Linked DNA regions of Anolis sagrei. The protein of the gene in region 1 binds, or shares a complex with, the protein of each later gene. Links are inferred from orthologs where the notes say so. Each region holds a gene or a part of one and is shown on either strand. Other genes may lie near its edges.

What was found.
Region 2: SATB1 (region 1) and HOXB2 share a complex: the UniProt entries of both Homo sapiens proteins name them as parts of the nuclear protein complex. The link is inferred for Anolis sagrei from reciprocal best matches to the Homo sapiens genes SATB1 and HOXB2.

Annotation. Positions count from the first base shown.
Region 1 is NC_090026.1:87,918,947-87,926,271, forward strand, and holds the start of SATB1 (DNA-binding protein SATB1), read left to right. Parts: upstream 1-4,160; 5' UTR 4,161-5,084; coding exon of another isoform or gene 5,085-5,088; intron 5,089-7,325. UniProt on the Homo sapiens protein: Crucial silencing factor contributing to the initiation of X inactivation mediated by Xist RNA that occurs during embryogenesis and in lymphoma.
Region 2 is NC_090026.1:33,270,156-33,277,569, reverse strand, and holds the start of HOXB2 (homeobox protein Hox-B2), read right to left. Parts: upstream 3,261-7,414; 5' UTR 3,254-3,260; coding exon 2,791-3,253; intron 1-2,790. UniProt on the Homo sapiens protein: Sequence-specific transcription factor which is part of a developmental regulatory system that provides cells with specific positional identities on the anterior-posterior axis.

The DNA.
Region 1 (7,325 bases):
TGTTAGGTTGGCAGAAGCTGGGGCTAAGAGCAGGAGCTCACCCCACTCCCTGGATTCAAACCACCAACATTTTGGTTAGCAAGTTCAGCACCTTGGTGGTTTAATTCACTGCACCACCAGTTATCTGTTAAATCTTAATTTGCAGGATAGTGCCCACTATTTTAGAGGGCAATGGACTATTCGGGGTGGGGGGAGAGAAGCAAGGCAGACTCCATGACAGAGACAGAGCTGTTTTCAAGAGAAAAGCCAATGGACACTAAGGGGCTGTCCTCACTGCTCCTTAGTGCTTTCCTTCTAAAGCAGTTGCTTCTACAGTCTCGCTTATCCGACATTCCGTCTCATCCGACGCTCCTATCCTTTTTCCTCCAGCATTTCTCTTTCAATTAAAGGAGCACTTCCCAACTCTCTCTCCATTCCCTATAAGTGAAAAAGGTGAGACAAGGGGGGTGAGGAAGAGGCAGGACCGGAAGCAGAAGCATCCTTCCTCCTTCCCTCTGTGATTTCCATGTTCCTCTTCCACATCTGGACACTTCCTGCTGGGCCACTCTAACCCCGAGGCATTGCCTTACATTAACCATTTGAGTCCCTGTTGTAGTATTCTAGGTGTCTAGCACTGCATCAAATGGCTAACAGTAGGAGACTCCATATTATTCAACATTTTCGTTTATCCGACGTTCTGTTGGCCCATTTATGTCAGATTTATTGGTCGTGTCAGGAGTGACTTGAGAAACTGCAAGTCGCTTCTGGTATGAGAGAATTGGCCATCTGCAAGGTCGTTGCCCAGGGGACACATGGATGATTTGATGTTTTTATAATCCTTGTGAGAGGCTTCTCTCATGTCCCCGCATGAGGAGCTGGAGCTGATAGAGGGAGCTCATCCGCCTCTCCCCGGATTCGAACCTGTGACCTGTCGGTCTTTCCTCCTGCCGGCACAGGGGTTTAACCCACTGTGCCACCAGGGGCTCCTGTTTATGTCAGATAAGCGAGACTCTATTGTATTTGCCTAATAATGAGGCTGGTCATAACAACTCAGGTAACACCAGGGCACAGCCATTTGTGTTGGCTTTGCAATGACTTCTAGATAGTTATTGTATCATATTGCCAGTAACACTTGTTCTTAGTGCATACCTCCCCCCTGTACGAAGGTACCTTTTTCGACCCCATTTCGGAAGAGTTCCCCCCTCGCAAATAGTAAAGGTATCTCACCCCATTTTTACCTTTAGTATTTCACTCTATACATGCGGCCCACTCACTGTTTTGTGTTATGAATGATTTTATTGCAATTTTATATTGGTTATAGTATTTTATAGTTTATGTTTTATGTAATTGTTTATGTTCTTGTTTATGTTTGTATTCTATTTATTGTGTTGCGTTGTTGGACTTGGCCTCATGTAAGCCGCCCCGAGTCCCCATTGGGGAGATGGTGGTGGGGTACAAATAAAGTTTATTATTATTATTATTATTATTATTATTGGGACAGGTAATGCTTTGACCACTCCCTCGTGATTTTTAAGAGCAGTTAACTGTGTTGTTTCAAAGTACCAACATGCATATCAGGAATCACTCCTTCAGTACTACAAAGCTATTTAAGTTATACACTTAGTACCAAAGTACTCTGATTCTTAGATATACACTCTTTTGATCATACTGACTGGAAGTTGGACGATGTCCAGTCTATGGAAGACTACAGATTCTCTACCTGTCTGATGGATTTGCAAAAAAATTAAGAATATTTTGAAAGGACAGGAATCTGAGATTGAACCAGCAGTGGACTGAAGTTGTAATGTGTTAAAATTATTATTTTTTCAGTTACTAAAATGTAGCCAAAAGTTTTGTCTTTCTGAACTAAGAACTGCCAAGTTGGCATTTTTGTCAGCATACAACAACATATAATACAACCTTTACTTAGGTTTCATTCTGATGAATAATAATTAGTATTATTAATAATTATTATTATTTCAGAAATGGTATATTATTACCAGTTATTAAAGAAAGGTGTGCCCTTATAATCATTGCCCGGGCATTGTTTGCATGCCAAAATATGCCTATAGTTAAATCTGTTGTGAAAGAAGCATGCATAATCCAGAAATTAAAAGGAGCAGGGTGGATTTGACACTGAATTCCCTGCTTTCAGATCAATCAGGTAGCTTCCTGAGGTTTGGGGGGCTGGGAAAGGTTTGTAAGGATTGTGTTTCCAAGAACTTTGCCCAGGTTTCTCTATACTCTGCTCCTGTGAAGACAGGAAAGGTCTCAAAGTCTGTCTGAGAGGCTGCAGGGAGGTTTTAAAAGGTACCAAAACGGGAAATGAACCCGAAGGCAGAGAACCAACAGAGCCGAATACCTTCTAAGTAACTCTAGTGGGGAACGCCAAGCAGGGATACAAAGCTCTCCAAATCCCAGGTTTAAAGGCAGCACTCCTCCCTCCCTCTTTCAATGGATTTCTAGGAAGCCAGCTTTCTCGGTTGCCGGTCCAGGTTTCAGAGCAGAAGAGCCAATATGCTCGCATTCTGACACAGAAGTTTCCCTTTCCTTTTTCCACTTCCTCGCCGTGTGTCTCTTTCTCTGTGTCTCTGAAGCCACGATCCAGCAGTCGAAAGAGTGGCCCCTCCCTCCATATATATATTTATGATCTTCCTCTCGGTATTTTTATATGTATCACAATTTCAGAAAGAGAGGAAGATCATAACCCGTTCCTTCCTTCCCGATCTTCTCCCGAGCCTTAAAATATTGATCACCTTTGTTAGATTTTGGAAAACTGCCCTGCTCGGTCATATTCTTCCTCTACCTCCCACCCCTCAAACATTATTTCTTAGTTGTGAGTTTTTCCATGTTCCAGAAGCATTCTCTCCTGACGTTTCGCCTGCATCTATGGCAGGCCAGGCATCCTCAAAAGTCGCTTCCAGTTACTACAATGCAACCTGAGCCCTGCCACATCCACTGTGGAGGACCTCCTTAAAGTAACACCAGAGGCACTCCCAAGTGGCCAGCTACTGGTCAAAGGATATTATTTAGTATAAGGCCAAGTTTTTAAAAACTTTAAAAAAAAACCCAATACTGTATACAGTACAACTGTACCCCCAGTTCGCGTCTGATATGATAAATACATATCCCCAGAGGTTGTGAGGTCTGTTGGAAACTAGGAAAATGGGGTTTATATATCTGTGGAATGTCCAGGGTGGGAGAAAGAACTCTTGTCTGTTTCAGGAAGGTGTGAATGTTGCAATTGTCCACCCTTGATTAGCACTGAATGGCCTTGTAACTTCAAAGCCTGTCTGATTGCTGCCTGGGCATCCTTTGTTGGAAAGTGTTAGCTGGCCCTGATTGTTTCTTGTCTGTAATTTCCTACTTTGAGTATTGTTCTTTATTAACTGTTTTGATTTTTGAGTTTATTTTTAATACAGGGGAATTCCAGACAAGAAACAACCAGGGCCATCTAATCACACACACCCCCAACAAAGCATTCCCCCAAGCAAGGAGCAGCCAGACCTTGAAGCTGCAAGACCAGTAAATGCTAATCATAAAGTTGGAAGAGACCTCGTGGGCCATCCAGTCCAACCCCCTGCCAAGAAGCAGGAAAATCGCATTCAAAGAACCCCCGACAGATGGCCATCCACCCTCTGTTTAAAAGCCTCCACCACACAGAGTTCCACTGCTGGTGGTCAATTGCAACATTCACACCTGCCTCAAGCAGAGTTCTTTCTCCCACCCTGGACATTACATAAACCCCACTTGCCTGGTTTCCAACAGATCTCTCAACCTCTGGGGATGCCTGCCATAGATGCAGGCGAAACGTCAGGAGAGAATGCTTCTGGAAGATAGCCATAGAAGACAGCAACCCAGTGATCCCGGCCACGAAAGCCTTCGACAGTACATTATTTCTTAGATTTGAAGTGAGCAGCAGCTGACAGCCAAGCATGTGGTGTATAAATATTAGAGTGGAGGGGGGAATAGAGAAGGTGGGGGTGAGAGATAAATAGAGAGATAGATAGAAAGTGGGGGGAAGAGAAGGAGGAGGAGATAAAAAGGGGAGACTCAGCAGCCTTGGTGGTGAGCCTGTGAGGGGCGCTGCTCTCCGGGAGGAAAGAAGGGGAGCAGCGTTGAGGAAAAGAGAGGTGGGGGAAAGAGAAAGAGGAGGGGGCAGGGATGAGAATAGCGTTGAAAAACAACAACAACACAAGCCCAACAGTGATGAGCTCCTTCCCGCCGCACGGGGACTGGGAGGGAAGTGTGTGCAGCCTGTGAGTGCGTCTCACCTGACTTCCTCCTTCCCCGGGGCGGCGAGGGAGGAAGGCAGAAAGAGAGAGAGAGAAAAAGAGAGAGAGAAACAGGCAGGAAGGCAAGCAGGCGCGCTCACCAGCCAGCCCCACACAAACAACAACAACAACAACAACAACAAAACCTAGGGGAGGGTGGCAGAAGGAACGGCAGACGCCGGCGGACGAGGAGAGCAGAGGAGACAAGCACAAAAACAATAATTATAACAACAGCAGCAGCAGCAAGAAGGGAAGCCAAGCCAACCCTCTCCTCCTCCTCCTCCTGCCAACCTTTCTTCGCCCCTCACTCCGTCTCAGTCTTCTCCGCGGGAAGAAAAGAGCCAGAAGGCAAAGAGACAAAAAGAAAGAGAGAGAAAGAAAGAAGAAAGCGAAACAGAGTTCCTGATCGAGGAAGGAAGCCGAAGGAGGAGCCCCGCGTCGGGCACTTGGTGGGCTTCAGTGCCAGCCGAGAGAAAGAGAGAAGGTGGAAGAGGCAGGCGGTGGGTCGGTCGGTCGGTGGGGCGCCGCCTTCTCGTCGTCTCCTTCCTCCTCCTCTTCAGTCGCCGCCTGCCAGGCAGTTCAGGAGCAGAGGAGGGAGGGAGAGAGGGTGGCAGGCTCTCTCTCTGTCTCTCTCTCTCTCTCTCTCTGTGCCCCCTCCTCCTTTCCTCTTCTCTTCCTCCTCCTCCTCCTCCACCTCCTCCTCCTCTTCCTCCGCGCTCCTTCCTTTAAACGCCCACTCCTGATGGCTGAAAAGACAACTTGAAGTTCAGTGCAATTAACTTCGCCGGCGCCGGGGAAGCGGAAGGTGTCGCCCAGCCTCGCCGCGCTCTCATGAGTGAGTGACTGACTCCGTCCTTTCTCGCCTGCCTGACTGCCTGCCTTCCTTTCCTTCTTTCCCTCCACTTCCAACACCCTCTTCTTTTCCCCCTCCCGCTCTTTTGTTGTTGTTGTCGTTTTGTATCCAATTCTGGGTGTGAAGAGTTCAAACTTGAGTTCGGGTAGGAAGGGCTGAGGGGTTGAGAGAGCTTGTATCTATCTACTTCTGAAAGTGAAGAGTTCACACTCAGCTGAGGGAAAGCCTTAGAGTGACCTCACAACCTCTGAGGTTGTTTGCCATAGATGCAGGTGAAACGTCAGGAGAGAATGCTTCTGGAGCGTGGCTACATAGCCCGGAAAACTTACAGCAATCCTTAGAGGGTTGTTTTAGTTTTTTTCGGGCTGTATGGACATGTTCTAGAGGGGTTTCTCACTCATCTTTAGGGGGGCTTAGAGGGGCTTCTCACTCATCTTTAGAGGGGCTCAGAGGGGTTTCTCACTCATCCCACTTTGTACCCCTTTTTTGGCTGAAAAGGGGTGGGAGCGACTATTACGCGGTGAAACCAATTCCAGCTATGTGGCTTTATTCAGGCAGCAGCTTTACTTCCCCATGTACCTATTCCCTAGCTACCAGCGAAGGTCTTCAGGGCCGAGGTCTTCGTAGGGTTTTGGGGTTTTTTGTAAGTTCGTGGCTTTTTTGTTTCTGACAGACATTGGTTTTTGGTGAAATGGCTCGGAGGCACCTCCGAGAGGCACCTGCCGGCGGGGAAGTTGAGGCAAGCGAGGTCCGTGGCGCCGGGAGAAAAGTTTGGGCTCAACTCCGTCTCGCCTTCCCGGAGCGCAGCCAGGAAGTTTTAGGTTCAGGGGCCTTTGAGGCGAGGCTGAGGAAGGAAGGAAGGAAGGAAGGAAGGAAGGAAGGAAGGAAGGAAGGAAGGAAGGAAGGAAGGAAGGAAGGAGACTCAGGGGAGATGCTGGCGGCGGGAGGAAGAGGAGAGGAAGGCCGGGGACTCTGACAAGACTGACAGGAAAGTGAGCGAGTTTGAAAAGGCGAGGTGAACACTCTCTCGCCAGACAAGGGAGAGGTCAATTTAGAGGCGCTTTTTGGCGGGAAGAGTTCGTGTTTCCCAAAATTGAGGGCATTTGATGGGCGGGATGTGTCCAATTGTCCCTCGGATGACCTTAAGGAGGCGGCTTCTCGCTCACACCTTCGCAGGTGCCTCTCTCTTTCCCTCGCATCCCGCCTTTCCCTGGGCAGCCTCCATCCCGCCTCCTTCCTTTTAAGCACTGGGTGGTCCCTGAAACGGCACCCCATAAGGAAATGCAGTTTCCTTTGGCTATTCACCTGAACTTTTCCTAAGTGTCCCCTCCAGAAGGAGGCACTGGATCACTCATCTTCCCCTTTCTCCTCCCCTTAACAAAAAATCCTGATTTTGGAAAGCTTTTGACAGCTTTAGAAAGCCACATAGATCCAGAATAGTTTCAGAGGGTACCTTCTGAAGTTGTGTCAGAATACTTTAGTTTCAACCAGCCTTTTTCAGAGGTGTGTCTCAACAGGTTTGGCGATGACAGCTAACTTGTGCTGGAGCAAAAGTTTCTCTTTTAGTGGCAGAGAATTGCTTTGCTTTGTTGGAAGGGAATTCCGGCTGTGATTCTTGGCATCAGTACCATCTGATTTGCATTTTATTTGAGAGATCCGTTTAAACTTGAGAGTCCCCTCCCCAAAATAAGGTTAAATGTGAATTTCTTGGGCAAGCAGCATAACTTCCCAGTGAAGCATTCTGTAGTTAAATTGGATGATGTTCTAATCTGACAGATCGTTATTCTGTGTTACTAAAAGATATGACTGAGAAACTGCCACTTATTTTTTCTCCCCCAACTATTATTTTGGTTTTGTGCATTCTTACTTACAGTCTGCTCCACTCTGCTGGCAAACATTAGCACTCCAGCTTACACTTTTTTCTTTGACAAATGTGCAGACAGGCATAGCATTAAGAGACATCTTAAATATTAACAACCTAAGCATCTGTTGTGAAACAAATTTAATATATTTACTCTGTTTTTCCTCACATTGCTAAGAAAGGTTAGAATATGTGAAAATTCTAACTTAAGCTGGCAAAAAGGAATTGAATGAGTATTTCACTGTCTTGTCAACAGTGTTTACACCGATCACCAAATATGGGGATCTTAATTTGTGCCATTGTTTCAAACAGAAAACAATATTCATACTGTACAGAGGCGTGAACGTAGCTTAATAAG
Region 2 (7,414 bases), about 55 Mb from region 1:
CAACACATTGAACATCTCTAAGAATTATTCGGAAACTTGAAGAGGTTTTGTGCCTCTTTGGTGTATCTCAAGCTTTGTGGGGACAACATACACTTATTGGAGATCTTACATGCAGGATAGTTTTCTGCAATGCCAACAAATAAGAAGACAGCACAAAGCTAGTTTCAAATATTTGGGTTTGGAGAAAACTTTTGCTTTGAGAAGGCCTCTTAAGAGTAGACCGATATACCAGGATCTGATCCCAAATTATCTATTTTGAACTGGATTATATGAGTCTACACTGATAAATAATCTGGGATAAGAAGATAATCTGGAATCAGATCCTGGGATATAGGGCAGTATAGATCCAGTCTTAAGAGGCCTTCTCAAAACAAGAGTTATCTCCAAACCCAGATAATTGAAAATAGACTGTCTCGATTCAGTCTAAGAAGCAGAACCCTTTTGCTAGAGCTGTTTCCGACTTATGAAAGCTCTGTCAGTGGGTTTGCTTGGAAAGATTTGTCCAGAGAGGGTTTGCCTTTGCTTTTCTTTGAGGCTGAGACAGTGTGGGGTCTCCACGGCTGGATGGGGGAGTCTCCAAATCGCTTCAACCACTAAAGGAAACCGAAGAGCTCACAGATATCCTGGATTTCAGGAGAGGATGCTAGTTCGGTTTATGTGACCCCATCCTCCACCCTTAATCTCCTGTATTCGGCTCCCCCCTCTTGGTTTCCTAAACAACCTGCCCCATAGCACAGGGGTGAAGGAAGAGAAGCGGACAGAAAATTGAGATGAGAGGAAGAAAGAGGAAAGCCTGTCTCTCCAACTATGGCACCAACAAGGAAAGTTGGGAGGAGATCCTCAAAAGAATCACCCTCTTTCCTTTCCTCTCCTCTCACCTTCCTTCTTCTCCTTGGGGTTTTAGACTCATTAAGAATCCCAGTTCTTTCAAAAACTCCTCGGGTGGAGAAGAAAAGGGCAAGGAAAGGAAGGAAATATACCCTATCCTTTATCCACCAAACTGGCGAGCCTAGAGGGAGAGAGGATGAGCCATGGCGTCGAAGGCACTGGTTCTTTTGAGATAGTGGCGAGTGGTTGTTCTCCCCTGCCATCCTTACATACACATAGAGTCCTGAAATAAAAAAAATATTCCAAACACACCACATCACCTTCACCCTTCTTAAGGAGAAAAGAGCATTATCTCCGAAGTATCTTCTGTTCCTCCAGCTTATTAAATAACCCAAGCGCCCAAGTACAACCACAAGCAGAGGTGGTATGTGTACTTCTAGGGCCATAAGTGAATGCATGGATCAAGATGTATCTTTTTATCCTGATTAAGGATGGTTCAAAGGAAGGGAAGAAGAGAGGAAGGAAAAGAAAAGAGGAAACGAGGAGGGAGTGAGGGAGGGAGGAAAAGATTGGAGTAGCATTCCAACCTGTCTTTTCCCCAGTTGTTTCTTTGGCTTGGAGCAACCTTTCCCAGCTTCGAATAGGTTTGAAATACCAAGATTTGAGGAGGGCCACTCTTTATCCGAAATTGTAGGAGCACTGGCGATTTTCTCTCACTCCTGATTAAGGATGGTGAAAAGGAAGGGTGGAAAGGAGGTGAGTGGGCGGAAGGAAAGAAAGAAAGAAAGAAAGAAAGAAAGAAAGAAAGAAAGACAGACAGACAGACAGAGGAAGAGAAGAAAGCAGGTAGAAGGAAGGAAGGAAGGAAGGAAGGAAGGAAGGAAGGAAGGAAGGAAGAGACGATCGAGAAGGGAAGGGAAGAAAAAAAGAAAGAGGTAGGAGGAAAGAAAGAAGGAGGAAGAGAAGGAAGGGAGGGAGAGAGGGAGAGGAGGAAGGGGTTGGAGGAAAGAAAAAAGGAGGAAGAGAAGAGAAAGAAGACATGAAGGAGAGTGGGAGGAAAGAAAGAAAGAGGAAGTGAAGGAAGGGGGTAGGAGGAAAGAAAGAAGGAAGGAAGAAGAGACGATAGAGAAGGAAGGGAAGGGAAGAAAGAAAGGGGGTAGGAGAAAAGAAAGAAGGTGGAAGAGAAGGAGGGAAGGAAGGAAAGAAGAGGAGGGAGGGGTAGGAAGAAAGAAAGAAGGAGGAAGAGAAGAACATAAGGAAGGAAGGAAGGAAGGAAGGAAGGAAGGAAGGAGGAAAGCAAAAGGAGGAAGAGGAGGAATGGGATAGAAAGAAAGAAAGAAAGAAAGAAAGAAAGAAAGAGAAAGAGAAGAAAGGTAAGGAAGGAATGGAAGGGAAATAGAAGGAAGAAGAGGAAGGGAGTAGAAGGAATGAAAGGAGAAAGAGAAGGAAGAGAAAGAAGGAATGAAGGGATTATAGAGAAGGGAGGGGAGGGAGGGAAGAAAGAAAGAAAGAAAGAAAGAAGAGAAGAGAAGGAAGGGGATAGGAGGAAAGAAAGAAGGAAGAAGAGATTATAGAGAAGTGAGGGGAGGGAAGAAAGAAAGAGATAGGAGGAAAGAAAGAAGGAGGAAAAGAAGGAAAGAAGGGATAAGGAGGAAAGAAAAAGGAGGAAGAAGAGGAAGAGAAGGAAGGAAGAGGAGGAAGGAGTTAGGAGGAGAGAAAGAAAGAGGAAGAGAAGGAAGAGAAAGCAGGAATGCAGGTGGTAGGAGGGAGGGAAAAGAAAGGGAAAGAGAAAAGAAGGAAGGAAGGAAATAAAGGGAAGGGAATTGTCTTTTCCCCAATCGTTTATTTTGCGTTGAGCCCTAGAAAGTCCTTGCCCGCTTTCCCAGGAATTCGTAGGTTTGGAATAGCCAGATCTGGGGCGAGGGCACCCCATGGTTCCCCCCTCCCGCCTTATATACCGACCTGGAGGGGAAGCGGCGGCTGATCCAGGCAGGGAGGCAGGGAAGGCGGCGGCGGCTGCGGGCGGAGCCGAGGCCGGGCCGGGGCTGGCTTTCTTGGCGCCCTTCTTCTCCTTCATCCAGGGGAATTCCCCGGCCAGGGGGGCGGTGGGGGCGGGGGGCACCGTCGGGGGCGCCGTCGTTTTCGGGGCCTGCCCATGCCCGTGCCCGTGCCTCCGTCTCTTTTGGCTCCTTGGCGTGGGTTGGCCGCTACTGCCGCCGCTGCTGTTGCTGCTGCTGCTGCTGCTGAGAGAAGAAGGATCCAAACCGAGGAGGCTTTGCTCCGAAGGAGGAGGAATTAACGTCGGTGGCTCCTTGATTGATGAAGTTTGAAATGTCTCCAGGACAGCGGGAAGGGACGTCAGACACTCCGCTAGCGATGGCTGGCTGTTTATGAAGCCGATCTCCCTCTCAAATTCAAAATTCATGGCTTTTTCCAAGGGGCCCAGTACAAAAGGGAGGGGGAATGGAGGGGAGGTGGGGGGGGGGGGAGAAGAGAGAGAAATGCGGGTGGGTGGGTGGGTGGGGAAGCAACGATTGATCTTGAAGGCCCTTCTAATATTTTATATCGCCTTAGTATTAATGTTACTTGCCGTCTCCTCCCCCCTCTCCCTGCCCCCCTTTGCAAAAAAAATATCTTATATTGCAGATAATACAAGCGTATGGGGACCTTGCTCTATTAAACTGACGAGCAGGGATAAATTGCAGCCAATTCCTGGTCACGTGGCCTGGCTTGCCCAATAGGAGGGCCGGCTTGGTTGAAAACAGGTTTGTTTTTCATGCATTTGAATAATAATAATAATAATAATAATAATAATAATGTATATATAATAATCATAATAAATATATAATAATCATAATAAATTAATTATTAAAGCAGCTTTTGGAGAATCTCTGTCCTCTTATATAGGATGACTCCTAAGGAAAATGCCAAGAAAAGGTTGTGCAAGAAAGGGGGGACAGAATGGTGCTGGTTGGCTGAAGTCTGCCTTTTTCACTTCCAAGGGGAGAGAAAGGCCCATCTTAACCCCAGTTCCCAGGAGGGAACAAGCAGGACAGAAGGAAACCCAGCTCTTGTCCCAAAGGACAAGAGACAGAGTTCAGAGATGATGGAAGAGGACGTTTCCCAGGCAGATTCAGAAAACTAAGTTAACAACCAACCCCACCCAAAATCTAGGCAGAGAAAGCAGCCCTCTTAAAGATATTAGATCTGCAGGTTCTTTTAAAAAGCTACTTCAAAACGTTTTCGTTAGTAGTCCAATTGTAGGCCTTTTGATCAGCTAGAATGTCAAAAGTCATTTGAAAAACAAATAAGTCTAGTTTTTGACTGATTAAAGACCAGAGGTGGTAATATTTCTGCACACACCCCCAATAATAATAATAATAATAATAATAATAATAATAATAACTTAACTGCAAAAGGCCACCTTACTTGGATCTGTGTGCATCATTCGAAAATACATCACACAGTCCTAGACGCTTGGGAAGTGTTCGACTTGTGATTTTGTGATACGAAATCCAGCATATAGATCTCATTTGCTGTGACATACTGTGCTTTTGTGTCCATAATAATAATAGTAATAATAATCTATAAATTAAAGTGTAATGTTCGTTTGTGGGATTCGCATAACTCAAAAACCACTGGATGAATTGACACCAAATTTGGACACAATACACCTATCAGGCCAACAAGTGACCATCATTCATAAAACACTGAAAAACACAGAAGAGACTAAAAAAGCCAAAAAACACATTACAATACATATATGAGCAAACACACATATTCACAAATATATACACACATATATACACACACATATACACAGACTGGGCCACAGCAATGCATGGCAGGGGATGGCTAATAATAATAATAATAATAATAATAATAATAATAATAATAATAAATGACACAGTCCTAAATGCTTGGGAAGTGTTTGACTTGTGATTTTGTGATATCCAGCATACATAACTCATTGGCTGTGTTATACGGTGTTTTTGTGTCAGTAAAATAATAATAATAATAATAATAATAATAATAATAATAATAATAATGTATTTATATTCTGCCCTATCTCCCTGGAGGGACTCAGTGTATATCTGCAGATCATCAAGCTGATTTGAAGCATTTCTTTTCTAATATAAGTTTATTAGATGTGCTCAAGAATATTTCCACTACTAGGCCATCAAACAAAAAAAGTTGTACACAAAGTGAGAGAAAGAGCCAAGAGTGTGGGGGAGAGAGGCAGAGGCAGAGAGAAGCGATCAATCTTTTCTCACCAAAGACTCCTGACAGCCCTGCCTTTGCTCACATCCTAAAGAATTTGGACCTTCCTCAAAATTCCTAAGAAATGTCCTTCTTCCTTCAGAGATTTGGGAGCAAAGGTACCAAAATATAACCTCTTGGAGATTGGAGAGAAAGTGAGAAACAAATAAATCAAAAATTCTGAAAACATAGGATACTTTTTGGGGGGAAAGTCTTTGTTTATCAAAGCTCAATTTATCCCCTTCCAGAGTCTTGTTAGAGACAAGACCAGGGCTGGGAAAATGTATTGAGAAATGGAGTGAAGCTCAGAAACTTTTGTGTACTGAAATGTCTGTGTGGGTGGCTTTAAATAGAAGCCCTAAAACTGGAGGTGTATGATGCTTTAGAATTGAGAAAAAAATGTTACCACTAGTAGTAGTATCTTTATTATGGTTATTATTACCAACGAGCTCTTCATATTTTGAGGGGTGCTATGAAATGAGTTATTAAAGCAGTATATTTTTCTGTTATTTGGTAGTATGCCTATGCTATTATAAGTTTATTAGTATACCTAGTGGTGTGAGAACAACAACAACAACAACAACAACAACAACAACAAAAACTTTATTTGTATTCCGACCTATCTCCCTGAGAGGCTCAGAGTGAATTCCAGGAAACTAGGAAATTGTAAACTGGTATATGAGAATTTAAGCCAATATATAGACCATGTTTCAGCCAAAACTCTTTGCTAATGAAGTCCCATTTATTTTAATGAGAGACTCCAGCACTAATTTCTCCCATTGAAATGGATTGATCTTGAAAAACTAGAATTTTCTTTTTTTTAGTATACTTTCCATTAAAATCAAATACACTGTCTGTATTGTGAATTTGCATTGTAAAGCCTATTGCTGTTGCTGCTGCTATGCTATTATAACTGTTGTTTCATCTTTGGACCATGTGTATAGAAATAAATACTTTGAAAACTTCCTTCCAGAGTTTCTAAAATTACTATGAGAATAAGACCATAGTAAAGCATCTACCAACCTGGGATGTTCAGAAGTGCTGGACTACTGCTCCCATCATCCTCAGAAATCATGGCCATCCCTGATGTATATTTAATGGTAGGACTTAGAGCACAACATGCTTGGAGACCATGAGGCTGGAGAAGAATAGCTTACTACTATAATAAGATGCTATGGAGTTCTGTAATTGTAGTCATGTTTGGTCTGTATCTGTAAAAGTTTAGTATTATTTTCTAGTCTTATTGATTTCAAAAAAGTAGAGTTTTTTTCATGTCAGGAGCTACTTGAGAAACTGCAAGTAGAGTGAAAATAATGTGAAACAAATGCAAAAAGGGGAAATGAATGTTGCCATCTATACCTGTTTACAGAAAGGTGGGGTCTGGCTGAAATAATCTAGAAAGAATTGATACAGAAATACAATTATTTTTTAATGCTTGAGCAAAATTTGGACATGGTAAATTTCTTGTCATACAGGTAGTCCAAATATGTAACTTTTCTAAGCTCTATTTATTCCCATACAGTAACTCCAAGAAGAATTCCACATTTAGTTCCACTTTCAGCTCATGAGCATCAGTTTCCATAGGACGTCCATCTGGCATATTAAATTACATTGGGTTGTCTTTTCACTACTAATTCTCCAGCCCTGTCCATTTCTTGCTTTCTTTTAAAAGCCTTAGATGTTTTTGTCTATACTTGGCTCATTCTTAGTGACACTGCATAATAGGTTTTGTAGTTCTAAGATTATGTAAATTAATGTAAGACTACATTCATTGCAACTATGGTTTGGTTCATGGTACATAAAATATCATAAATACTTTTATTTGGTCTGTCCTGTTCTGAATAAGTTTGAAAATTGTTTTGAGGAGAAAGAGGTGATTGCCAAGGATTTTTAAAAGTACACATACTAAAAAATACTGATGACTTAGCTGAGAAAGACTGACCTACAGTGAGCACGAAGATTATTATTATTATTATTAATAATAATAATAATAGTAATAATAATAATATTGCAATCCCAGGCGAGAGCTGGATTGAAGAGAAACAACTGGAAAAGCTGACATGATATGAGGATTTAAAGATTGAACTGCAAAGATTGGCACAAACCAGTAAAGGTGGTCCCAGTGGTGATTGGCACACTGGGTGCAGTGCCTAAAGACCTTGGCCCGCACTTAAACACAATCAGCGCTGACAAGATTACAATCTGCCAGCTGCAAAAGGCCACCCTACTGGGATCTGCATACATTATTCGCCGATACCTTACACAGTCCTAGACACTTGGGAAGTGTCCAGTGTGTGATCCAATACAACAGCCAGCGGAATGATCT